3 linked regions of the Schizosaccharomyces pombe genome follow. The gene in region 1 interacts genetically with each later gene. Each region holds a gene or a part of one and is shown in the gene's direction. Other genes may lie near its edges.

The links. Genes that interact genetically often act in the same process or in processes that back each other up.
Region 2: mutations in rhp6 (region 1) and cdc13 are lethal when combined (synthetic lethality), as found in Schizosaccharomyces pombe (one study listed by BioGRID).
Region 3: of rhp6 (region 1) and brl1, changing one suppresses a phenotype caused by changing the other (phenotypic suppression), as found in Schizosaccharomyces pombe (one study listed by BioGRID).

What each region holds. Positions count from the first base shown.
Region 1 is NC_003424.3:303,422-307,262, forward strand, and holds rhp6 (ubiquitin-conjugating enzyme E2 2), read left to right. Parts: upstream 1-2,184; 5' UTR 2,185-2,301; coding exon 2,302-2,343; exon of another isoform or gene 2,344-2,390; coding exon 2,391-2,455; exon of another isoform or gene 2,456-2,635; intron 2,636-2,668; coding exon 2,669-2,789; intron 2,790-2,894; coding exon 2,895-2,998; intron 2,999-3,046; coding exon 3,047-3,170; 3' UTR 3,171-3,341; downstream 3,342-3,841. Other genes in the region: SPOM_SPAC18B11.09C (serine O-acetyltransferase activity), read left to right, coding at 1-219, 295-372, 431-598; protein pat10, read left to right, coding at 1,042-1,114, 1,253-1,310, 1,350-1,439, 1,498-1,534, 1,579-1,608; U3 snoRNP-associated protein Lcp5, read right to left, coding at 3,543-3,841.
Region 2 is NC_003423.3:418,337-423,776, forward strand, and holds cdc13 (G2/M B-type cyclin Cdc13), read left to right. Parts: upstream 1-1,774; 5' UTR 1,775-1,972; exon of another isoform or gene 1,973-2,099; intron 2,100-2,325; 5' UTR 2,326-2,786; coding exon 2,787-4,235; 3' UTR 4,236-4,932; downstream 4,933-5,440. Other genes in the region: exocyst complex subunit Exo70, read left to right, coding at 1-883, 937-973, 1,075-1,140; protein dsh1, read right to left, coding at 4,933-5,262, 5,333-5,402.
Region 3 is NC_003421.2:2,238,067-2,242,654, forward strand, and holds brl1 (histone H2B-K119 ubiquitin ligase complex (HULC) subunit, ubiquitin-protein ligase E3 Brl1), read left to right. Parts: upstream 1-1,780; 5' UTR 1,781-1,908; coding exon 1,909-3,987; 3' UTR 3,988-4,088; downstream 4,089-4,588. Other genes in the region: transcription factor TFIIIB complex subunit Bdp1, read right to left, coding at 1-602, 653-1,144, 1,190-1,220; pep3 (ubiquitin-protein ligase E3), read left to right, coding at 4,439-4,588. UniProt on the Schizosaccharomyces pombe protein: E3 ubiquitin-protein ligase which belongs to the histone H2B ubiquitin ligase complex (HULC) which mediates monoubiquitination of histone H2B to form H2BK123ub1.

The sequences.
Region 1 (3,841 bases):
GAAAATGTAGGCCCAGCAGAATTGATTAAAAGACGAGCTGAACTGTTGGCTGAAGTTTTTGTATTTGACGAATCTTCAGCACCAGAGATTGAGCCACCTATGGCTTTTGATTACGGATTTAACGTTCATTTTGGAAAAAAATTCTTTGCAAATTATAATTGTACATTTCTAGATGTTGCCATAATTACTATTGGTAATAATGTAATGCTAGGCCCCAATGTATGTTTATATATATATATAGTTACTTTCAAGTCATTCATTCAAAAAATAAATATACTAATGGTGTCTTTCCAGGTTCAACTATGTACAGCAACACATCCCTTGGATTTTAAAGCAAGGAACTCCGGAATTGAATTTGGTTTACCAATTAACGTATGCGTTAGTCCAGTTATTGAAACATCTTACAACTAACAAACAAAATTTTATCAAGATTCAGGACAATGTTTGGATTGGTATGGGAGTTATAGTTCTCCCAGGTGTTACTATCGGGGAAGGCAGTGTAATTGGAGCGGGTGCTGTTGTTACAAAAGACATCCCACCTAATACGTTGGCTGTAGGATCACCTGCCAAACCTATTCGTAAAATTGAAAACGAGTGAACGAGTGTAATTTTTTTTTTTATTATTTCATCTAACGATTAAATGCTCTTTGAACTTCTTAAGTTCACCTGGCTTGGTTCCTAAATTTTTAAAATAGTATAAATAATATTATATTATGTTTGAGCTTTAAATTGTTATATAGAAGACTTAGAATGCTAAAAGAAATCCATTTCTCACTCGCCAAGTAGGATCAGTTTCCTCCTATGACTTGCTAAAGCCCCCACGTGGTACTGCAATCGATTTTAATTCTAATGCTTAGCCAAGTCTAAAATAGTTGAAATTCTTAGTGGGATAAGAACTCTTAACCCCCACGATATATTTGAATGCTAAATAACCTAACCTAAAACCATTTTACACATTTTATTACTAACTTCATTATATTCTTGTAGAGGAACCATCCCATTCACCAGTTCTGAAGTCTCGACAACGAAAATTCATAAAATATGGCGCCTGCAGAACTTAAACGACCTGATTTAATCGTTCCCTACAAAGCTAGAGTCAAAGCAAATGAAGAAGGTAAAGTAGAAAGCACTTTCAAATTGAACCCAATCGTGAGTTACGCTGATTTAATCGCTCAAGCTTTAGTTCATTGTGGAATATTTTAAATCCTTTCTTTCGTCAAATAATTTATTAAGTTTGCTAACCCTATTATAGTTGGCTTGAGTTTGGTAAGCACAGCCACGTGTATGGCTGCTTTATTTCTTCGTTTCAAGTATGTAAGATATTTTAGGATTTTCATGTTAACGAGAAGATTAATTGCATGGGTTGCTTTTATCCTAACCTTTTCAAATTTACTGAACGCAAATACGTCTCCCAGCTCATCTCCGACTTCAATGGCTTTGTAAGTAATCCTAATTCATTGCATTAATGTAGTTCTATGGATGTTAACATTTGATCAGTATGGGTATCGCGGCTCTTGTGTCAACATATTTACCGGTAAGTTGAATTTTTATATTTACTTTGTCGATTAACTTGTGCAGCAATTTTTAAATACTCCAAACAAAACTTAGTAATTTTTAAGTCAGTGAATTAATAAGAGTATTAAGCTGATTTTTTTCTGGATAATTAAATTTATGCACAATGTAAATATCTAATGGTGAAGAGTTCAGATACATTTCTAACTACCATTTCAATCACGTAGCAGACGCGTAAAAAATTGGCTGTTTGTGTTTTCTCATTGTTAAGCTAGTGAAAATGTAAATTTATTTCTTACATCCTGTTGCTCTTTCATTTTTTCTTCCTAATGTATTTTAGTTGCTTTTTTAAACCCAATGAGAACAAAGGCTTAAAGTAAATATATATAATTTTCACATGTTCAACAGTTTACCGTTAACAAATGCACGGACCTTGATTATGATTAATGGTTGAATGAAAAATATCAACTTTCCTTATCTTTAACTATAATTTAAATGAAGTAGTAGTTCATTAATACTAAAGCAGACTTGCATTGCAAATGCTGAACATTACTAAAAGGTTGGTCTAGTTATAAGGTAACTGAGCGTGCACTTTATTATTTTAACGTGTTGGGTGCGCCCCATTAATAATGAAATACTGCATATGAGTGAATGGTCCTACTATTGTTCCCTGCCCTTCTCCAACAACGCAAATCGGATATCCTAACTCGGTGTAATTCCAAGGCGATATCGATATTTGTGCAACTTTTTTTTAAAGTTATCACAAATAGAAGAGAGGTTGCTATAAAAATGTCAACGACCGCAAGAAGACGTCTCATGCGAGATTTTAAGGTACGGCAGTTGTGGATCCGAGAAGACTTATATTAACCAATTCTTAGAGGATGCAGCAAGATCCTCCTGCTGGAGTTTCAGCTTCCCCTGTCTCTGACAATGTAATGCTTTGGTAAGTGTTTACCTATGTCAATTCATTTTTCTCTTATTGTTATGCAACGTAATGGTGAATATATGTGCTATATATTGAATGCCTTTTTTGCCATATATTTAGGAAGGAGATCGTTTCAAAATTCTTACAAGAAGCGATCTTTTTATGCTTGTTGGTTTCTGGATTGATTGCTTTTGTTTTTTATTATTGATGTTGGACTAACCATTTGAGCAGGAATGCTGTTATCATTGGCCCAGCAGACACTCCATTTGAAGATGGAACTTTTAAGTTGGTTCTTTCTTTTGATGAACAATATCCTAATAAACCTCCTCTTGTAAAATTCGTCTCCACAATGGTATGCTTAGTCATTGTATTTAGACAAGTCTTAAATTAGATTATTTGATTTGTTGTAATTTACTTTTTTCTTGGTTTTTTTTGTTTACTTACTTATTGGCTTTAGTTCCATCCAAATGTGTACGCAAATGGCGAACTTTGCTTGGACATTCTGCAAAACAGGTGGTCTCCAACTTACGATGTGGCAGCAATTCTTACCTCTATTCAAAGGTTTGCTTTTCAGAAATATTACTTAAATTTCTCATAACTAACTTTTAGCTTACTTAATGATCCAAATAATGCGTCCCCTGCAAATGCCGAAGCTGCTCAGCTGCATCGTGAAAACAAGAAGGAGTATGTGCGTCGAGTACGAAAAACTGTAGAAGACTCCTGGGAAAGTTGATTTCAAGACATAGCTGTCTTAATAATCCCTATTTCATTAGAACTTACTCTTCTTTTTCAACCGCCTTTCACATTAAATCTATTTAAGTGCTTCAAAGTTGCCAAAATTGTAACTATAGTAAATCATTAAGATTTTTTTGTTTACATCTACGAATGAATGATTTCTTCCTTATGTTTAGAACTTGTAAACTATATTAATGTGCGACTAATCACATATACAGACATGTACATGCAAAATTTATATTGATCTTATTAAACATAACCTGCCCTAAACCACACAAAAATACCAAACCAAGCGCAAAAACTCCATTTTTTTAAATACATATGGTCAATTTTTTTAAGTAAACCTCAACGGCTGTTCCCAAAATAATGATTAACGACGTTTCAAATTCTTCTTTCTTTTACGATATGACTGGCCAATTTGAACAGGTGAAGCTAATGAGCCATCGTTAACGTCTTCAAAATTAGCACGTCTCTTAGCTCTAGAAGTCAGGTCTAATTTACGATTTGAAAAGTCATCGTCATGGAATTTGCGATCAAGCAATGACCAGTCTTCACCACCATAATCGTGTTTCTTTACACGTTTAGATTTCTTTAAATCTTTCTTCGATAATTTAGGAAGGCGAGTATAATTACTTTCCTCATACTCTATCCTCTCACGCATTTTTTGCA
Region 2 (5,440 bases), on another chromosome or scaffold:
ACACTGTCACCAATGCCACCAGACAGCTTGAGGGAGTTTATGAAAAAAGAGGTGCTGCAGAAAATTTTGTTTTGTTGTCTTTAATTGATTGTATCGTTGTTACACGCCAAAACATGAATAATCTTATGCCTTTTGAAGATGCTTCTTTCCTTGGTTTTGTGAATGGTGTTGGTCGTGAAATGGAAAAGATATTGATTTCTTCTATATCGAGGCTGTATAATGGCACTTGCCATAACAACAAAACAGTCCCTCTCACAACTGATAGAGTCAGTGAAATGACTCATGGTATTATGAGTTTCTTGAATGAACTTGCTGAGCATGAAAATGCCTCTTATTTGCTTGAAAGTATTGGTAATTGGGGCTGGAGACACGAAATTAATGCTGATCTCAGTCCTGCGCGCTCAGTTCAAGACATTACGAGGAACTATGTTATGGATTGTATGGATTCCTACCTAACTTCTGTTCAAACAGCTGCCCAGGCAGTGGATACGATTGGATGGAAAATGGGCGTAATGCTTTTAAACATCAGCGTCTATTTTGAAGCAAAATGTCTTGAGTCAAAAATTGCATCATTTTTACAAGACGTTGATTTAGAAAAGCTAGGAGATCGATCACAAAAGTACTCAACCATGTATATGGAAGTTTGGCGACAGTGTTCTCAAAATATGCTCGATTCTACCTATACAAAATCTCAAAACAAATCCACTATGTCTGCTAAAGAACGAGAGATTACAAAGGAAAAATTCCGAAACTTCAACGAACAAGTTACATCTGTTGTTCAAGTGCATCGTGAATCTGTTAGGTTTGAAACTGGTGTTGCCACTTTTCTATTGCAAGAAGTTAAGAAAACTGTACTACCTTTATATCAAAGGTTCTATGATAAGTATGAAGATCAATTAAAAACTGTTAGTTCCACTATAGCTAACCTCTGTTTAGATACATCAACAGTGATTTTACAAAAAATAAAGACAAGGTATGTGTATTGAGGATTTGTCGATATTCATTTGCTAGTTTATCGATGTGTATATACATTTAAGTTGTTATCGTTTTTCATTTTGCTTACTCATTACGTAGTATATCAAATTTACAAAGGCTGATTTAGATTCTTTTATTACAAGCGCGTTTGCTCCTTCCCTATGATTCAATATGATGAATTTGGGTCCTTTGAAATTCCATAATATAGTACTAAAGTGGGTGTACTGGCATTCTCACTTTTCTTTGAAGCATTTGACTGATGTAAATAAAGACGGACCATATCTCAAATTCAAAAATTTGACTTCTATTTTACATTATTAAATCGTTCCATATAATTTTTTTAATTATTAACTCCCCTTTTTTGATGACTTTGTTGTTTACCCTGCTCAGATTCTGCTTACGAGTAAGCTACCCACTAAATATTGTAATTATTAAAGAAAACTTGAAGAACTAATTTTTAATTGCATTTCCCAAGCAATCATGTTTCGATTATATACGTTCTTTACTTTATATAATGTGCCCAGCATAATTTCATAGACAATAACATTATTACCTCTTTTTTACAATAGTGAGGTAGCTCATATACATTAAATTGTGGTTCCATATCTCCGTTTTCTTATTTTTACGAAACTCGTGTTTGTTTTTGTTTAATATTTATATTATTGTTTACATTGAAAATTACCATATTATTTGATGTTTGTATTTGTTTCCCAGCTTGCCAACGTTGCGTTACCCCGACAACCCCATAGTGTTTACGCCCTCTACGATACTCCTTTCAGTCGACTCCACTACCACGAGCTGTCCTTAACCAGCATCTTGACGAGTTTTTACCCTTAAACGACATTCCTGCTCATAGAAATATAAGCAAGAACAGGACTTTTCCCCTATTAGTCACTGTCTAGAGCTAGAGGCGAGAAAAGAAGCGGAACCTGGTCGGTTAAGCAAAGCTTGTTCTTTCGTCTTGTCTTCTTGCTTGTAACAAGAGCTTAATCAGATTGTAAGTAATGTTAAAGGCTGGGAATACAGTTTTGGTTGTGTAAGAACATTTTCATACAATACGACCTTCTGAAGATGTGAAAATTTCTTCCCAATCAATAGTCACCCTTTTTCCTCGACTTCACCTAGTTCAGCGAAAACATGAAATCCTCTTTAAGTCTAACTTCATTTCTTTTTATTTTTTTATTTTTTTAAAATTTATGAAGGGATTAAGGGGTGGGTGCTGTAAAACATGGGGGTTTAAATTTAAATAACTACCCATTTTATTTTCCTATCAAAGTTTCTTTTTTTCATAGGATAATCCTTTATTGTGCCATTTTGTTTTTTCATTAGATTTACTAACGTCATTTAAAGTCAACATTTACCCTTCTTTTCTTGTTCTGGTGTTAATATAGGAAAATCGTACATCGATTCTACATATAGCTTCATTTCAAAGTTCAGTTTCGTGTTCTACGTTTCCTATATCCATTGTTGGACTTCATCGCAATCCCCTTACTTTATTGAAAAAAAGAAGTCTCAAAAGCTCTTGCCAAATTCTAGATTCGGTCAAAGGCTATTATTTTCTCCTTTATACGTACGAGAAACATACATTTTTGCTTGGATTTTATCCTTAAAATTTTTGTATAAACTTTCAAGTATAACTCATTCTATTTTATCTTCTCCGTCCCGTACTACCCCTTCACGTTTTTAGACACTTTAAAAAGGTTGTTCGTTCAAAACCTCTTTTTTATCATTTCTGTTACCTGAACCAATTAATATTTTAATTTCCCTTCCTCTCTTTCAATCCCCGACAGAATTCGTTTCTTCTTTTCCTCATGACTACCCGTCGTTTAACTCGCCAGCACCTATTGGCAAATACCTTGGGCAACAATGACGAAAATCATCCTTCAAACCATATTGCCCGTGCAAAAAGCTCTTTGCACTCTTCAGAAAATTCTTTAGTAAATGGCAAGAAAGCCACTGTGTCTTCCACCAACGTTCCTAAGAAGCGTCATGCGTTGGATGATGTTTCCAATTTTCACAACAAAGAAGGTGTTCCATTAGCTAGTAAAAACACAAATGTCAGACACACTACTGCTTCTGTCAGTACCCGTCGTGCTCTCGAGGAAAAGTCTATAATCCCTGCAACAGATGATGAACCCGCTTCCAAGAAGCGTCGCCAACCTTCTGTTTTTAATTCATCAGTCCCCTCGTTACCTCAACACTTGTCAACGAAATCACACTCTGTTTCAACCCATGGGGTTGATGCTTTCCATAAGGATCAAGCAACTATTCCAAAAAAATTAAAGAAAGATGTTGATGAACGCGTTGTTTCGAAAGATATTCCCAAACTTCACCGTGATAGTGTTGAGAGTCCCGAATCTCAAGATTGGGATGACTTGGATGCAGAAGATTGGGCTGACCCTCTTATGGTTTCTGAATATGTCGTTGATATTTTTGAATATTTGAATGAGTTGGAAATTGAAACTATGCCCTCTCCTACTTATATGGATCGTCAAAAAGAGCTTGCATGGAAGATGCGTGGAATACTTACCGATTGGTTAATTGAAGTGCATTCTCGTTTCCGACTGCTTCCTGAAACATTGTTTTTGGCCGTAAATATTATTGATAGATTTTTATCATTGCGGGTATGCTCTCTTAACAAACTACAATTGGTTGGCATTGCTGCCTTGTTCATCGCTAGCAAGTATGAGGAGGTGATGTGCCCTTCAGTCCAAAACTTTGTATATATGGCGGATGGTGGGTATGATGAAGAGGAAATTCTTCAAGCCGAGCGCTACATTTTGCGTGTCCTAGAGTTTAATCTTGCTTACCCGAATCCTATGAATTTCCTACGTCGTATCTCAAAAGCCGACTTTTACGATATTCAAACAAGAACTGTTGCAAAGTATCTTGTTGAAATTGGTCTTTTAGATCATAAACTTTTACCTTATCCCCCTTCCCAACAGTGTGCTGCCGCTATGTACCTTGCCAGGGAAATGCTTGGACGTGGACCGTGGAATCGTAATCTTGTGCATTACTCAGGTTATGAGGAGTACCAATTAATTTCCGTTGTTAAGAAGATGATTAATTATTTACAAAAGCCTGTTCAACATGAAGCTTTTTTCAAGAAGTATGCCTCCAAAAAGTTTATGAAAGCTAGTCTTTTTGTTCGTGACTGGATCAAGAAGAATTCTATCCCTCTTGGCGATGACGCTGATGAAGATTATACTTTTCACAAGCAAAAACGTATACAACATGACATGAAAGATGAAGAATGGTAATTTAGTGTATTGTGCATATCACTATCTCAACCTCTTTCAATTGTGAATATTCCAACTTGTTCAAGCGCTCTTTATATGTGTATTAGTTTATCACTAATAGCAACCGTAATGTCCTGTAAACGAGTCGCCGATAATTCCTAATGCTTTTGTTTTTGTTTTGTTCTATTATTATATGCTCGGGTACTTGAAGATTGCCAGATGCATAGTACATGCTGGTGTCATTATGAAACCAAAATCATTTGGAGAAGTGTAATTATGGATGCCTTTAAATTATCCCACCTTTAAGTCTTAGATTTGATTATCTGTCGCATATGTGTTTTGATCTATGTGGCTAGTAACGTTATAACAATTGTGTTTCTGCTAATGATGCTGCTTTAAACAACTACGAGTATTGTGCTATTATTTCTTTTTTACAATTAGGACCTTACGATAACAAAATAGTACTATATTTTCTGGATGTTGAGCTACTTGCCGATTGGGAATCCCATATCCTACACCATGAGTCGGAGTAATATTAATAATAATAATGATAATGATAGTTCCTTGAGGTGAATACTACTTTATTATGTTCATAGCTTGCAGAACGTATATTGCTCATAATAAAAATGAAAACAAATAACATCTAACTCTCGATAGACAACTTAAACCAAAACATTAAATGTGTTTCTTTAAAAATAATATCGTGATCCTTTTTTTATTAATCAATAGTAGATCGATTTACAGCCATAACAATGGATTGTGCCGTTTCGATAAAATGTTCAATGCCCATAGGGAAAAATTCCGATATCAGTGGTTTATAAGATGGAGCTTGCCATTGCTGTTTATGTTGATTATCAGCTAATAGATAATCCCATTTTGGATCCCAAAACGAGAGTCCATAACGAAGAACCGAAGTGTCAGAACCAACTTGGTAACATTGGAGACCAGGTTCGAAGTCTGTATCTATATCTTTAACTTTGCCCATATCGTGTGCTTCAAACCGAGTTATATGCAAATGAAAACCGGAAGATAAATGCCAATATTTATGCTAAAATTAGTTAACTACTTACTCAAAAATTGTAAAAACCAACAGTAATGCCTAAATGAACTTCATTTACCTTCAATTTGACAACTAGACTCCGAACTTTTATGTCTCTGGTATTCATAAAATAGATTCTTCCATCATCACTTTATGGTCAGCTTATAATTTTCTTTTAATAGTCAGC
Region 3 (4,588 bases), on another chromosome or scaffold:
CCTATTTCCCCAAGTAGCACTTGTAACCCGACGACTTAAAGAATTTTCTTCAACGTATTCGCGTTCCTCTGCTGGTACAAAATCACGTTCATGACGGTCGACTTCTAGTGAGGTTTCATCCAGAACAATTTGGCCATTAACAACTCGCGTACGAGGAGTTGCAGAGTAATTGGAGTTGTTATTCAAACCATCAACTTCCATTTTATCTGCTAACTGATCAAGAATAGACTTTGTTGGGTGAGAGAGACTATCTTCGAGAGAAGCAGACTCATCCGTACCCTCTTCTTCCAAACTTCCTACTATTTCTTCTTTCTCTTTCGGTTCGCTTGATTCTAGAAGACTGGCACTCAAAGGCTGTTTGATGGTAGAATCTAAAGACGCTTCTCGACTAGAGCTTGCAGTACTTGCTCCTTGTTTTTTAATCCTCTTTGCTCGTTTTTCCTCAAAAAGCATTTTTTCTAATTCGATAAATCGTTGACTTTTGCGGCCAATTCCAGGATCATCACATAAAGCAGACATTTTGGTTTCACTTATGTTAATGATTTTCTCGTCGGTACCCACGTTTTCCAATATCAATTGACTTTTTCTTTTCAAAGAAGATTCTATGATGTTATTAAATAATGCATTTTAGATTAACCCTTTATTTACGTACCTCTATATGAACGGCGAGACTTTTTTGTAGCCGGAGAATCCGCCTTTCCGTCACTAACAGCACTGAGCTGAGAAAGGGGAATGTTCTCATCAAAAAACAAATCTAATTCCTTCATAAATTGCTGTTCGGCTGAAGAGGATAAATCGGTTTCAGGCGACAAATGCTCAATAGCATTTAACGGCTGCTCAAGAACCGTTGGCTTAGAAATTTTAAAAGTAGGATTTGAATGCAAAAGTTTTTCATTTTGTTTCACTGAATCATCTTTTCTATAGGATGAAGCTGTGGGATTTTCAGTTGCCTCTTTGTGAACTACTGTTTGCACAACCGGACTAGAAATATCAGCATTGGCAGTATCACGAGACAGCTGAGCGGATGTTTCTACTTCGTTTCCTGTGAGGGGTTGATTTTTTTCTTCATGAACAACCTCTTTTTGGTCCGATACTTTCTCTCTACGGGCTGTAAATTTAGGGGCAAACCTTGACATTGATTTTTCTGGTAAAACATTAGTGGAAAGCCCTACTACTTAAAAAAACGTACTTGTAGGTGAGGTTAATATTTGCGAGCTCATTGAGTCTGTTTAGACTGTAACTTCGACTCAATTGCATGAATTTCAAAAATTATGTGGCAGTGCGCATATGTTTGTACAAACATTTGCCTGTTGTCCATGAACCAGTAATATTTTAATAAAGAGGTTATATCCTGGGTATAACTGTACAACGAAACCAAGCAAGCCCGTCTGAATAGATTAATATATATGTGTAAAAAGTTTTATAGTCGCAATGATTGAGTAAGATATAAAATTAACTAAAGGTAGAAATAATCAGGGTCAGCCTCGAACAAACTTAGTTATTATAAAACGCTGGAAATGTAAGCTATAGTTTACAGATAAAGCAAGAAAATACTTTACACTAATATGAATAGTAGAATAAATTCAGCAATTTAGATAACCACCGAAGGAATTGAAGAAGCCATTGTCGTTAGCTAATGTTTATTTTGTCATTGCCAATATTAATTATATTATACAAATTACTACTTCGTAGGCGACTTTAAAGACAGGCATAACTAAGGTAAAGAAACATATTATTATAGCGAGGAATCTATTTGACTCACTAACGAGACATGACTACCATGTACAGATAACCTGAAAAAACTCATTAACCGTAGGAATTGGCTTAGTGAATGTTAATGAGCACATATTTTGATCCTAAGTACTTTATTTTAATTATAAAATAGAAAAGGAATTTTTTTGAAGTGGAATGAGCGTTGTGAATGAATCGAGGAAAAGAAGACGTCTTATTCACAGCGAAAAAGAAACGCGTCGTTTAGACCTCGGAGAAGAAGATGACTTAGAGTTATTTCAAAAGGAAGCAGCTTGGCGAAGATCTAGAGAGTATGAGCATCTCACTGTTTTGGAAAAGAAATTATACGAGTATTGGGAATCTCTAGTTTTGAAACTTGATCATTACGTTGCTGCTGCTCTGGAAAATCATGAACAATCATTTGAAGAACTAGAGAAAATCACTGCTTCTTTATATCAACCTGATGATAATTTACAGACACTAGATTTGTCACTTGCTGAGTTCAGTTTAATCAAAGATGCGCAAAACTATTTGAATAAGTATGCTTCCTATTTTCAAGCCCATGAACCTACTCTACAAAAGTTAGCTAAATTTGGTTCTTTTAAATTAAAAGAAACTCCAAACGTCCATGAATGGATAGACCAACGCCAGGTTCATTTTACAAGTATGATTAATTACCGTACTAGCCAACTTAAGTTGGCACTCCTAAAAAGGAAACTTTCCTTCTTTCGTGAAGCTTTGAATTCAGCTGAATTAGAATGGAAACGGGTGCAGCAAGATCAGCTTACTAGTGCTTCCGAAAGAAGTATTGAAAATATCGCTGATGATATCCCTGCTTCGGAACCAAAAGCAATTCTCGAAAATGGGGAAGGATGTTTAAATGATAATGATAATATTTCAAAACTAAAAAACAATTTTCAATCTCAAGCTGATTTGATGCAAGCAAATATAAATTCCAAATTGGATGAACTTTCTCAAAAATCAACTCGTGCAGCACAATTGTACGTCGACATTATGGGTATAACGGATGAAAGAGTGAGTAGAGAGCCCCATTATTTAGAGCTGAAGGGGGTTCTTTCTTCAAATGAAGAGAAAATCGAATCCATTAATCGGGACCTCTCTTCATTGTTTGAGGACATTCAGTTTTTTATTTCTCAACGGACGAAACGACAGAAGGATATTATTGATTTAAAATTGGCATGTGTAAAAGAGAAACAACAACTTATTAAAACCCTTGAATCATCTTTAACCCAAATTCGTAACGAACGAGACTCTCTAGTGGCGAAACAACAAATGCAATATACTAACAATCTATTTTTTGACGATATGATGCTTTTATTAAGCAACTTGTCAAACGCTCGGGTTGCAATTCTAGAAGGTTATTCAAATCGATTGTGCATATGGGATCGTATTGAAAGGTCTAAGACTGGTGAGATGAATAATGTCCTAGATGAAAAAGAAGAAATTTCTGCGTCTTCAGCTTTGGAAAAACTAATAAAAAATAATAGTTGTTTGGAGGCTGAACTCCCAAGTATGTATGCAGCATTTGATCAATCACAATCTCGTTTGTTGAAGAAATATGAAGAACTTGAAACGAAGGAGAAAAAAGCTTTGGAAATGCATTATGAAAAGGCTCGTGCCACCCAAAAATATTTTGCTGCCATGAAAGCTCGGGACATTCTTATGACAGAGAAGAAAACTCTTAAACTGGCCGAAAATAAAGAACATGATTATATAGGGAAGTTGCAAGAGCGAGAACATGCGCTAACAAAATATGAATCCTCTTTAAAAGCTGAATTGGAAGTTTATAAACAAATAAAGGAAATCTACGGGAAACACTCGGTCGAAGTTTTAACAGAAGATAAGCACTTACAAGTTAAGCAAACAAAACTTACTCAAAAACTTGAAGATCTTATAGAGTCTGTTCAAAAATCTGGGGAAAAGCTTATGATCATGCATCAGAAGTTGTTTCATTTGCAAGAAGAGCATACTATTTTATCCATAAAAGCTTCGTATAATAAGAAAGAGTCTCATCTTATAAACCAGGCATATGAAACACAAGAGGCTCAAGTATACAAAGGAATGTTAAAATGCTCCGTGTGCAACTTTTCTAATTGGAAATCTAAACTCATTCCAAACTGTGGTCATGCCTTTTGTTCTAATTGTATGGAACCTTTTTATGAGCATAAAACAAGTACATGTCCGCAGTGTGAAACACCTTTTTCGGTTTCCGACATTTTGACCATTCATCTTTAATTCTAGATCATCTTTTATATGATTAACGTAATGTTTTTGTTATTTTGGTACATAATATATTTTTTGGCATCAATAGTTATTGAAAGAATAGTCAATCCTATATACATATATATATATATATATATATATTTATTTATTTATTTACATATAAATATGTATGCTTTTTTTAATAAAAAACTAGTAATATCTATCAATTTGATTAACTTATTCCATTAAGCAACTTCGTTCATTCATATGCTAGTTTCGCAAGTCTAGCATCATGACTCACTCTCCATTATCCATGTGCCAAAAATAGAGGGTGTGTATCTGTAGCGACTGTAACTAGCGAAATAGGAAACAATTAATTACTATTAATTATTTTTTTAAATATTGGTAAATTAATTTATATTGGCAGCGGAATTATAATAATTCATCTCATTTTCTATTGATACGCGTGCAATCCCATTGAACAATGAGTCTGGCCGAGGATTGGATTGATCCTAATTCTTCTGAAGATTCAGATATTCAAGAAGATGCGGAATTGGAATACACAGCTGATAATCCCGAAAAGGAGCAAAGAGGTGTATTTTCCTTAGAGAAGGTGCAACTGCAGTTCCCTGTT